Linked DNA regions of Daphnia pulex. The protein of the gene in region 1 interacts with the protein of each later gene in a biochemical or structural test. Links are inferred from orthologs where the notes say so. Each region holds a gene or a part of one and is shown in the gene's direction. Other genes may lie near its edges. The genes, in order: ubiquitin-like modifier-activating enzyme 1, ubiquitin-conjugating enzyme E2 H-like and ubiquitin-conjugating enzyme E2 W-like.

Region 1 (2,264 bases):
GTTGATTCTAAATTCATGGAGAGAACACTAAAGCTAACAGGATCTCAACCACTCGAGATAGTCGAGGCCGTCCACCGCAGCTTAGTTGAGGAACGTCCGAAGAATTTTGAGCAGTGTGTTCAATGGGCTCGCCTCCATTGGCAGGAACAATATCACAATCAGATCAAGCAATTATTGTTTAATTTTCCACCCGAGCAACTTACTTCTTCTGGTAAAATCTATTGATAAAGTGTAATTTACTTTGTATATAATTTTTTGTTTTGACAGGTCAACCGTTTTGGTCGGGACCTAAACGCTGTCCTCATCCATTGGAATTCGATATCACTAACCCCGTCCATTTGGATTATGTGGTTGCGGCTGCTAATCTAAAAGCTAAAATTTACAACATCCCACAGTCGCGCGATGTACAGGTGAGTTCACTTTTTTTAGTTAAAACATAATTTGATTTACAGTTGTTTTTATCCCCTCGGACTCGAATATAGGCTATTACTAAAATGGTGGAATCGTGTGTCGTACCGGAATTCGTACCACGTTCAGGAGTCAGAATTGCTGTTTCGGATGCGGAAGCTGCTGCTGCCGCCAACAACCCAGGCATGCTTGATGAAGACAGACTTACCCAGCTGCAGACGGAGTTGCCATCTGTGGACTCTCTGTCCGGCTTGCGCATTCTCCCCCTCGAATTTGAAAAGGATGACGACACCAACTTTCATATGGATTTCATCGTAGCCTCTTCTAACTTGCGGGCAGAGAATTATGATATCGCACCGGCCGATCGCCACAAGAGCAAACTTATTGCTGGAAAGATTATTCCAGCCATTGCTACTACTACCTCCGTCGTTTCAGGCTTGGTCTGCATCGAACTTTTGAAGTTGGTACAGGGTCATACCAATCCTGAGGCATTTAAGAACGGGTTTATCAACTTGGCTCTTCCGTTCTTTGGCTTTTCTGAACCAATCGCTGCTCCCAAGCAAACGGTATTGTTGGAAAATATTTTAATCGATTCGTTAACTAAAAAATTTTTTGTTTGTATTTGATTAAAGTATTACGACAAGGAATGGACCTTGTGGGATCGTTTTGAAGTGGAGGGTGAAAAGACGCTCCGGCAATTTATTGATTACTTCGAAAGCGAACACAAGCTGAAAATCACCATGCTTTCACAGGGTGTTTGCATGCTTTATTCGTTCTTTATGCCGCAAGCTAAACGAAGCGAACGTATGGATCTCCCCATGTCAGAGGTTGTCAAGCGTGTGTCGAAGAAGAGACTGGAGCCTCATGTCAAAGCACTCGTCTTCGAGTTATGCTGTAATAACCTTGAAGATGAAGACGTTGAAGTGCCCTACGTCCGTTACGTGCTCCCGACCGAATAAAACTATTTGATTACTCTACGTTGTGCGGCGGGTTGGGGGTTGGTTCATATTTGATTTCAAGGTTATTTACTACCATAATCATCAGTTCACTTGCGCTATATCCAATGTTGTGGACTATTAGCTTAGTTCGTTGCTTTCTTTAATTCTAAATAGAATTCTCTATGGAAGTTATGTTGACCTGGGTCATTTATAATCAATTCCAAGAGTTCTTTCTTCGTGCCAGTGAGTATTAAATGTTACCGATTGGATTAACAAAGGGCAAAAATCCTTACTCTACATGGCTGCAACTTTTTCAACAACCTCCCTTTCAACCCTTCCCCGTTTACCGATTGTACAACTGGCCTTGAATATTGGTATGAAGTTAATACATGCCGTCAAAATTAAATCCTATATAAAAATGTTTTTTTTTTTATCAAGTGCATTATCAACGTACTTAGCAAGTCTTTGACTTTGGTCGATTGATGATAAATCAATTGAGATAAATCAATGGCTGAAAGTTCGATTTATTCAATATTTATTCAATTAAAAATCTTCTTAATGATGTTACGGTATTGTCGTTTTATCGTAACAAAAATCAAAGTTTGCAATCGTCGTTTCGTAGGCAAAAATTTGTTAAAATAAAACATTAAATTATGACTTTGATTCTTGAAACTAGATGGCGTATCCCGCGACTGTTTAAATTTCCCGGTTTAAAAAAAATGGGGCTGGGATGATAAGAGTCGACTGCTCACTTGTTGTGTTAAAATCGTATAATATTCGCTAAACATTTAGTTCAATGGAAGTGGACGACAGCAAAAATTCATTCTTGTTACGAATCATCGACAATATGGCGAAGCAAGGCATGGCGAGTTTGTCTGGCGAGTCTGGGCCTCACGTCTCTCGTTACTTTCCTCGACC
Region 2 (3,369 bases), on another chromosome or scaffold:
CTGCTTGATTTACAAGTTGACCAGGCTTCACGGCATCCACGGCAGCTTTGTAGATGAGTCTGATCTCATTCATGACGTTCACCATTCCCAGCCAACAATTCTTTCAAGTTAATGGCAATAAATGCTTAAAACGTGTAGCAAGCAAAAGCATTTTTTCACGAATCTTACGAGTTATTGTTGTGATTTGAACGTGTAATTCTTTATTTTTCCCCTACAGTTCGTTCGTCTGCTAATGACACGTTGAATTTGTTAAGGCAGACGAAATCAGCTGATGAGTTAATTTTAATTAGCCATCAATAAATTCGCTATCACGCAATACAATCAAGCTAAAACTTTGAGAGTAAAGCCATAGGAATCTTTGCTGTAAACATGCCTTCAGATAGCTCATTGTAACCATATCTTTTATGTAAATAAGCAATTGATACTGGGTCGGAAATGTAAACGTTGGACTCTCAGCCTGATCGTGATCACGTTCGACGACCTATTCAAACGATACAAATTCTCTCATTTTTAACCAGTTTTACTAGTCTATAGTGATTGGTCCTTTCTCCATTATACGACGGAGTTGTTTACGCGCAGAATCCTGACCTACATTTTCAATCCATCGTTTCAAAATACGCGCGCTACGGCCACACGACCAGGGCTGCGTTAAAAAACTAACACGAAACATGATTCTAAATGCATGAAAGTAATCGGAATAATCAAGGGAAAATATTAAACGTAATTTAGATTTGCAGAGTTATGCAACCACCTCCATTTTACTGCGATAAATAAAGGAGCGTAGGTTGCAAAACCCAATGTGGCGAGCCACAGCTGACTTGGTGGATTTTTTAGCCTTTCTGTCTTTGTTATGGTTATTCGTACAGTGCCAGTGGCGAAGGACAGGAGAGAGTGTGCTAAGCTCATCGTTTGTTTCATTTGCTCGCTGCGTAAATCTTTGGGTAGTACATAATTTCCAAGATTCTAAGCTTGTTTTTCTTCCGTTTTTAATCGACTGCATTTGTTGTTTTACTGTACAAAAGGCAATACCTTGAGAGACCAGTTTCCTCGTGCTGCTTATAAATAAAGGTGACGTCACACACAAGGCGAGAAGGGATTAGAATTTTTGGGACTAGCAGTCGGCCATTGTGTCCTCTCTTATTAGTTGTGGCGAAAATAATTTCACAAATCAATCGAGTCTAACCTGAAAAGAAGGGGACCTACTCTTATTTCGAGGGGGAAACCCAGACTGAAGTTTTCCGCGAGGTGGTCGATTTTGGAGTGCAAACAAAAATGTCCTCGCCCAGTGCTGGAAAACGTCGAATGGACACAGATGTCATTAAATTGTAAGTTATTATTTTAACAGAATCATATCTGGCCTTGAGTTTCACACATGTTTTGCTTCAAACTCTTTTGTTTGTGGATTATTGTTTTTGACAGTCTTTATTGTAATACCCGCTGTTTTTGTTTTCAGGATTGAAAGCAAATACGAGGTCACTATCCTTGGAGGACTTAATGAATTTGCTGTCAAGTTTTATGGTCCAAGAGGAAGTAAGTGATGAGAAATCATTCATGGTTGTTTTCAGGTCATTATTTCATTGAAAAATGTAGCACCGTATGAAGGAGGGATTTGGAAAGTCCGAGTTCACTTGCCAGAGCACTATCCGTTCAAATCACCATCTATTGGATTCATGAACAAGGTTTACCATCCAAACATTGACGAGGTCTCAGGAACAGTCTGTCTTGATGTCATCAACCAAGCTTGGACAGCTTTATATGGTATTTTGCATTAAATGTACTTAAATCTTTATGAATAATGAGACATTGTCTTTTCATCTGCAGATTTGTCCAATATCTTCGAGTCTTTTCTGCCACAGCTTCTCACATACCCAAATCCAATTGATCCACTGAATGGCGATGCAGCAGCCATGTATCTTCACAAACCCGAAGAGTACAAGAAAAAAGTGCAGGTACATTTTCAATGTCTGACATGTGTCAATCCGTATAGATCAATAGTAACACCTGACCTTTTCTATTGACAAGGACTATGTGAAAAAATTTGCAACTGAAGAGGCTTTAAGAGAGCAGGAAGCCCAAGAAGCCGCTCACCTGTCGTCAGATTCGGAATCTTCCATGTCGGACTTCAGTGAGGACGAAGCTCAGGACATGGAGTTATGAGACTTTTTCGTTGTTTTAACATGAAAAATTTCGTCGTTTATTACGTTTTCTCCCCCTCTTCTTCTATCTCTCATTGAAGTGGCTAACATTTTTTTTTCTTTTTTTCCATTCATTCATCGTTGAACGGAAGAAAGGTTTCATCGTACAAAATTTCATCCCGATAATGGGCTATATTATATTAATGATTGCGATAAATCACCCACCACCTCTGGCACCTCTCTCTCTCTCTCTTTGCTCGTTTGTTATGGAAACAAAACTTTGCATCCTAATTATTCTCGGGATGTTTCAAATCCTTTTGAAAAAATTTCTGTATTAGAAAAAAATAACAAAAATAATTGCCAAAACCAATTTTTTCCTCCCTCCGCTCTTTTCCCGATTTTTAAAAAGAAGCAGCAAAAATTTCATTTTCATTCAAAAAGTGGAGATGCCTTGGGCAGTCAGAGAATAAATGTTTTAGAGTGAGAGCCCCCCCTCTTTTTTCCATCACATAATTCATCTTTTTGTTTGACATCTTTCGTGTGGATTTAGCATCGCTCATCAACTCATTTTGATCTTCCCCCCCCAAAAAAAACACTTTTTAAAAAAGACAATAATATCAACGTATATGCGCGGCGTGTGTGTGTATTTGTGTGTCGAGATGTCAAAAGTATCGTAGCGGAGCTTCACAGGCTCGGTAGCAATTTGACAAGATGTTTAGGTTCTTTTTGTTTTGGTTCTCTCGTCACTTGACAGGAGAATCGAATAGATTTTTCTTTTCTTGTAGCTTAATTCGTACTTTTGTTTCACCTTTAACTATTTTTGACCGTGCGTTTATTAGAGAAGATTCGATTGTTTCTTTTTTTCACGAATGTAACAGCACCGCGGAATATGCGGACCACAAAAAATCGATTTTTTGTTTTAGTTGGAAATGAAACCAAGCGATTTTAAGAAATTTGTATGTCGGGATGGAATACTTGGTTTTTCAAAGAAAAATAAAATCTCTAAAAAAATAAATAAATAAATAATTCTTTGTCAATTTTTTGTTTGTTTGTTTCAAAGGTGACATTTTATAGTGCAACCTTAAAACCAAACAAATCTCTCAATCAAAAGAAAACTTTCACTTTGAATGATATCGGCCACAGGTGTTCCAACAAATGAACCCGACCGGAACGTTTGTTTGGTGGGGGAAGAAATGTGTGTCTCGTTGACGGCCAACCCCAAAGATAAACGCAC
Region 3 (3,626 bases), on another chromosome or scaffold:
CCCACTACTGTCGCCGAGACAATGAAGAATCGATCAAACAACGTCGATTCGCTCGACTTGCGTCACTCACACCTATTGCATAATGTGTTACGTCAATATGACACTGCTGTTGTCACTATATCTTGTTAGTCCTTAAAGGATTCGCAACTGCCATAAATATCTCCAACTGAAAACAATACTACCGTTACGCTTTTGTTGTCACTTGTAAAAGATAAGGGCTCCCACCTTTTTAAAAAAACATCAACGTCTCAGTTTTGTTATAATACCATATGTCATCAATCGATAACTTTCTGCCTTAAGGTTATATAGGAGATGTACAGTACCCAGTCCCAATTAGCTGACGCGGGACACAAATTAGACAGTTAGCAGTGACATTGCACGACAAAGGAGGTTAAGGAAGACGCAACTTGGCCCGTTTGCGTAGTTATTGTTTCCGCTCACGAACCACAAAAGTTCAGTGAACGTTGGAATCCCCCAACTTATTGACGTTTGTTTTTTGTCTGCGTGTGAACTGGAAAAGAAAGAAACTCGCTGAATCAGAGATGAAGGGCAATCTTATTTGCGACGTAAAAAGAAATAAACGACGATAAATGTTTATTACAGGCAGTTTCCACGGTCGTTGAACTCGCAACTTCCGCATCTGCTTTCCGCAATTCACAGCGTTCCGCACAACTGCGTCTGCGAAATACCCAGACGTTTTTGGAGGAAGAAAACAAAACATGTCATCACATCACTCGCGTTTCACATGTTCTCCTGCTCAGGTAAATATTAAATAAAAAAATGCTTCAGTTTAATAAGTGTGAACGTATTCAGAATGGCGAAACGTTAAAGAGCCGCCTGCAATTATCTAGTCGTAGTTGGTAGAAAATGAAACTCGAGGAACCTTCGGTTGCCATGTCAGCTTGTCCTTCAATCTCATCATTATTTGGACTTGTCCTTGACATTTTGCTAGTAAAACTTTTCTTTTAAGTAATATTCTTGACTCGGTTTGAGGTTTCGGAAGTCTTTTTAGCGGTAAAAATAGCTATACTGCTCTGGAGATGGTGTGTGTTCTTGAAGCTTGCTAATCGGTTATGGCACAGATTCAACCAACTGCTTCCTTATTCTTCCCAATTGAGTCACCTGAGAAAATGAAACCCTAGAAGAGAGTTCTGACTTATTGGCACATGTCAGTTTGGCACATGTCTGGTGTGGCTTTGCACGGTTCACGTGAAGTGAAACCCTGCAGCGTACTGTCAAACTGGTGACATTTCCTTTCTATAAAAGGAGAAAGCTACATAAGTGGCAAGTTAGTTCTTGGATCGGTGAGTATAGTTTTCGCATTACTTGCTGGTGGTTGTGTCTCACATTATTGGTGCCCACTGCGAATATGAGTGACAAATCCCTGACTCAATCGTGTGTTCTTCAGAGACAAGAGGTTAACCCTGATTGTTGCCGAATAGATCAGTATCTAAATAAAACTCAATTTTTTTTTAATATTACAGAAAAGGCTGCAAAAGGAGCTTGTCTCCTTGATCAAGGAACCTCCTCCTGGTGTTGTGATCGATGGAGAATCTGTGGGCCAGAGCCTGGACTTGTAAGATTGACTTGACATTTTGTTGGACAAGTGCATCACACTTTTTTCACTTTATTTTTTTCAAATCTCACTTCCAGGTTGGTGTTGAGTATTAATGGAGCTCAAGGAACGATTTACGAAGGGGAGCAGTTTCAGTTACAGTTTCGTTTCGGACCAAAGTACCCTTTCGATTCGCCCGAGGTAACACCTTTCAGTCAACGAATTGACCAAAACCAACACGTATGTTTTACTCATTTGAGACCACTCTCTTTAGGTTGTTTTCGTCGGATCGGAGATCCCTGTCCATCCGCACGTCTACAGCAACGGTCTGTCTAGCGTGAAACCCTTAAAAGATGGTCAATAATTTAACCGCGGCTCTTTTCTCCAACCTTTTCGGTTATTCAGGCCACATCTGCCTCAGTATATTGACCGATGACTGGTCACCGGCTCTGTCCATTTTTTCGGTCTGTGTTTCCATTATCTCAATGCTCAGCTCTTGTAAAGAAAAGGTCAGTTTCAATTGTGTGAAAAAGTATCTTTCTCACCCATCACTCATTCACGACTATTGACCCGTTAGAAGAGACCACCGGATGACAGTATGTACGTGAAAACGTGCAGCAAGAACCCAAAGAAAACCAAATGGTGGTACCACGGTGAGTTTGAATGGCTACCGCCTAAACCCGAGTTATTATTAATCTTTTTTAACCATAAATCATTTCCCAATTTGCCAGACGAAGAAGTGTAAAACGGGTTGATATCTCTCCCCCTCGATTCCCGCTACGAAAAGAAAAAGAACCTGTTTCACGCTGGCGATGCTCGCGTCAGAGACAATCTAGTCGCCAAAAAAATACGAAAGAAAACAAAAATGGATTTTCTTTTTTCAGTTGTCAAAATTTTCCACCCTTCCGAATCGATCGCGTTGATTTCCCATTCCCGATATTGACCTACTACTTCCTCGCATAACGAAACAGTTCCTCTCTGTCTTGATTAATATGCGGTTGATACTCTCCAATTTTTGACTTGTAGCAATATTCACGAAAAACTACAGATGTGTAATGTTTCACACTTTTGGCGTTTGATTTTTCGACTTTTAATCGACATCAAATCTACGAAGCCTTTTTCCCCCCTTCTACTGTGTTTTATCTTACCCCCACCCATTCTTTAAATGTTAAACGAAAAATATTTCGCTCGTATAAAATTTGTTTCAACTATTATACTCAAATTCTTTTTCATTTCACGTTTGGAAGACAAAAAAACTAAACGATTTGAATTAGCCAAGTAAATAATGAATTGTATATTTCTGAAATGGTTTCAAAATCAGAGGGTAGTAGGGCGCAAATTTTGTAATCGACTTTTTCTGTTTTATTATCCTTTTCGAGAACATTTTTTGATGTGTGTGTGTGTGTGTCTTGTGTGATGTTTTTGTTTCGAAAGAAATAGAAGAAGAGATTAAAGTTCGTTTCCGACAGCTTTTTTTTAAGACTCCGCTATAACAACAGCAATGAAGGGCGTGACAAAACATACTTTTGGGTAAACGTAGAGATTAATTAAGGTGGGCGACTTGAAAAAAAATGTCATTCGTCAATTAATGATCGTATTATACACACACACACCATGACTCATGTTAATGTTAAAATAGCCAGTCATATGAGGAGTGTATATATAGCGGATATGAGCTGAAGAAAAGGAGAGGAAGAAAGGTTTTTTGACAAACAAATTCTCCTGGGTAATAAAAAGGGAAAGGTTTAAAAAAAAAAAAACAATTTAACTTTTTTTTTTCGTTTTTTCTTTTTTTTTAAATCAATTAATAAAATCAGAAAGGAGGAAATCTAAAATGATTGAGCGCTGCACGGTATTCCGTCGGACGTGTACACACTGAGAAGAAACAAATCCGCCGAGCTATTTTATCCTTTTTTAAAAAATAATAATTACAAAAATCCGAACTGCATTTTTTAAAATTCATTAAGGAGAAACGAAGAAACAATTTTGAAATTGAAATAGAATTACAAAGAGAGAGAGAGAAGAATAAGGAGGGCAGGGGGGGGATTGGTATACATAACAGCTCTGTGCG

What was found.
Region 2: of the proteins of ubiquitin-like modifier-activating enzyme 1 (region 1) and ubiquitin-conjugating enzyme E2 H-like, one has a biochemical effect on the other in vitro, tested with the Homo sapiens proteins (3 studies listed by BioGRID, with this or other methods). The link is inferred for Daphnia pulex from reciprocal best matches to the Homo sapiens genes UBA1 and UBE2H.
Region 3: of the proteins of ubiquitin-like modifier-activating enzyme 1 (region 1) and ubiquitin-conjugating enzyme E2 W-like, one has a biochemical effect on the other in vitro, tested with the Homo sapiens proteins (5 studies listed by BioGRID, with this or other methods). The link is inferred for Daphnia pulex from reciprocal best matches to the Homo sapiens genes UBA1 and UBE2W.

The regions. Positions count from the first base shown.
Region 1 is NC_060018.1:5,971,914-5,974,177, reverse strand, and holds the end of ubiquitin-like modifier-activating enzyme 1, read left to right. Parts: coding exon 1-211; intron 212-267; coding exon 268-410; intron 411-482; coding exon 483-974; intron 975-1,040; coding exon 1,041-1,367; 3' UTR 1,368-1,752; downstream 1,753-2,264. Other genes in the region: uncharacterized protein LOC124207205, read left to right, coding at 2,143-2,264. UniProt on the Homo sapiens protein: Catalyzes the first step in ubiquitin conjugation to mark cellular proteins for degradation through the ubiquitin-proteasome system.
Region 2 is NC_060019.1:1,501,325-1,504,693, reverse strand, and holds ubiquitin-conjugating enzyme E2 H-like, read left to right. Parts: upstream 1-813; 5' UTR 814-941; intron 942-1,022; 5' UTR 1,023-1,272; coding exon 1,273-1,325; intron 1,326-1,453; coding exon 1,454-1,530; intron 1,531-1,590; coding exon 1,591-1,758; intron 1,759-1,821; coding exon 1,822-1,949; intron 1,950-2,022; coding exon 2,023-2,157; 3' UTR 2,158-2,717; downstream 2,718-3,369. Other genes in the region: glycerate kinase-like, read right to left, coding at 1-85. UniProt on the Homo sapiens protein: Accepts ubiquitin from the E1 complex and catalyzes its covalent attachment to other proteins. E2 ubiquitin conjugating enzyme that transfers ubiquitin to MAEA, a core component of the CTLH E3 ubiquitin-protein ligase complex.
Region 3 is NC_060027.1:2,995,225-2,998,850, reverse strand, and holds ubiquitin-conjugating enzyme E2 W-like, read left to right. Parts: upstream 1-832; 5' UTR 833-1,369; coding exon 1,370-1,417; intron 1,418-1,484; coding exon 1,485-1,576; intron 1,577-1,653; coding exon 1,654-1,756; intron 1,757-1,829; coding exon 1,830-1,881; intron 1,882-1,960; coding exon 1,961-2,064; intron 2,065-2,132; coding exon 2,133-2,208; intron 2,209-2,286; coding exon 2,287-2,300; 3' UTR 2,301-3,013; downstream 3,014-3,626. UniProt on the Homo sapiens protein: Accepts ubiquitin from the E1 complex and catalyzes its covalent attachment to other proteins.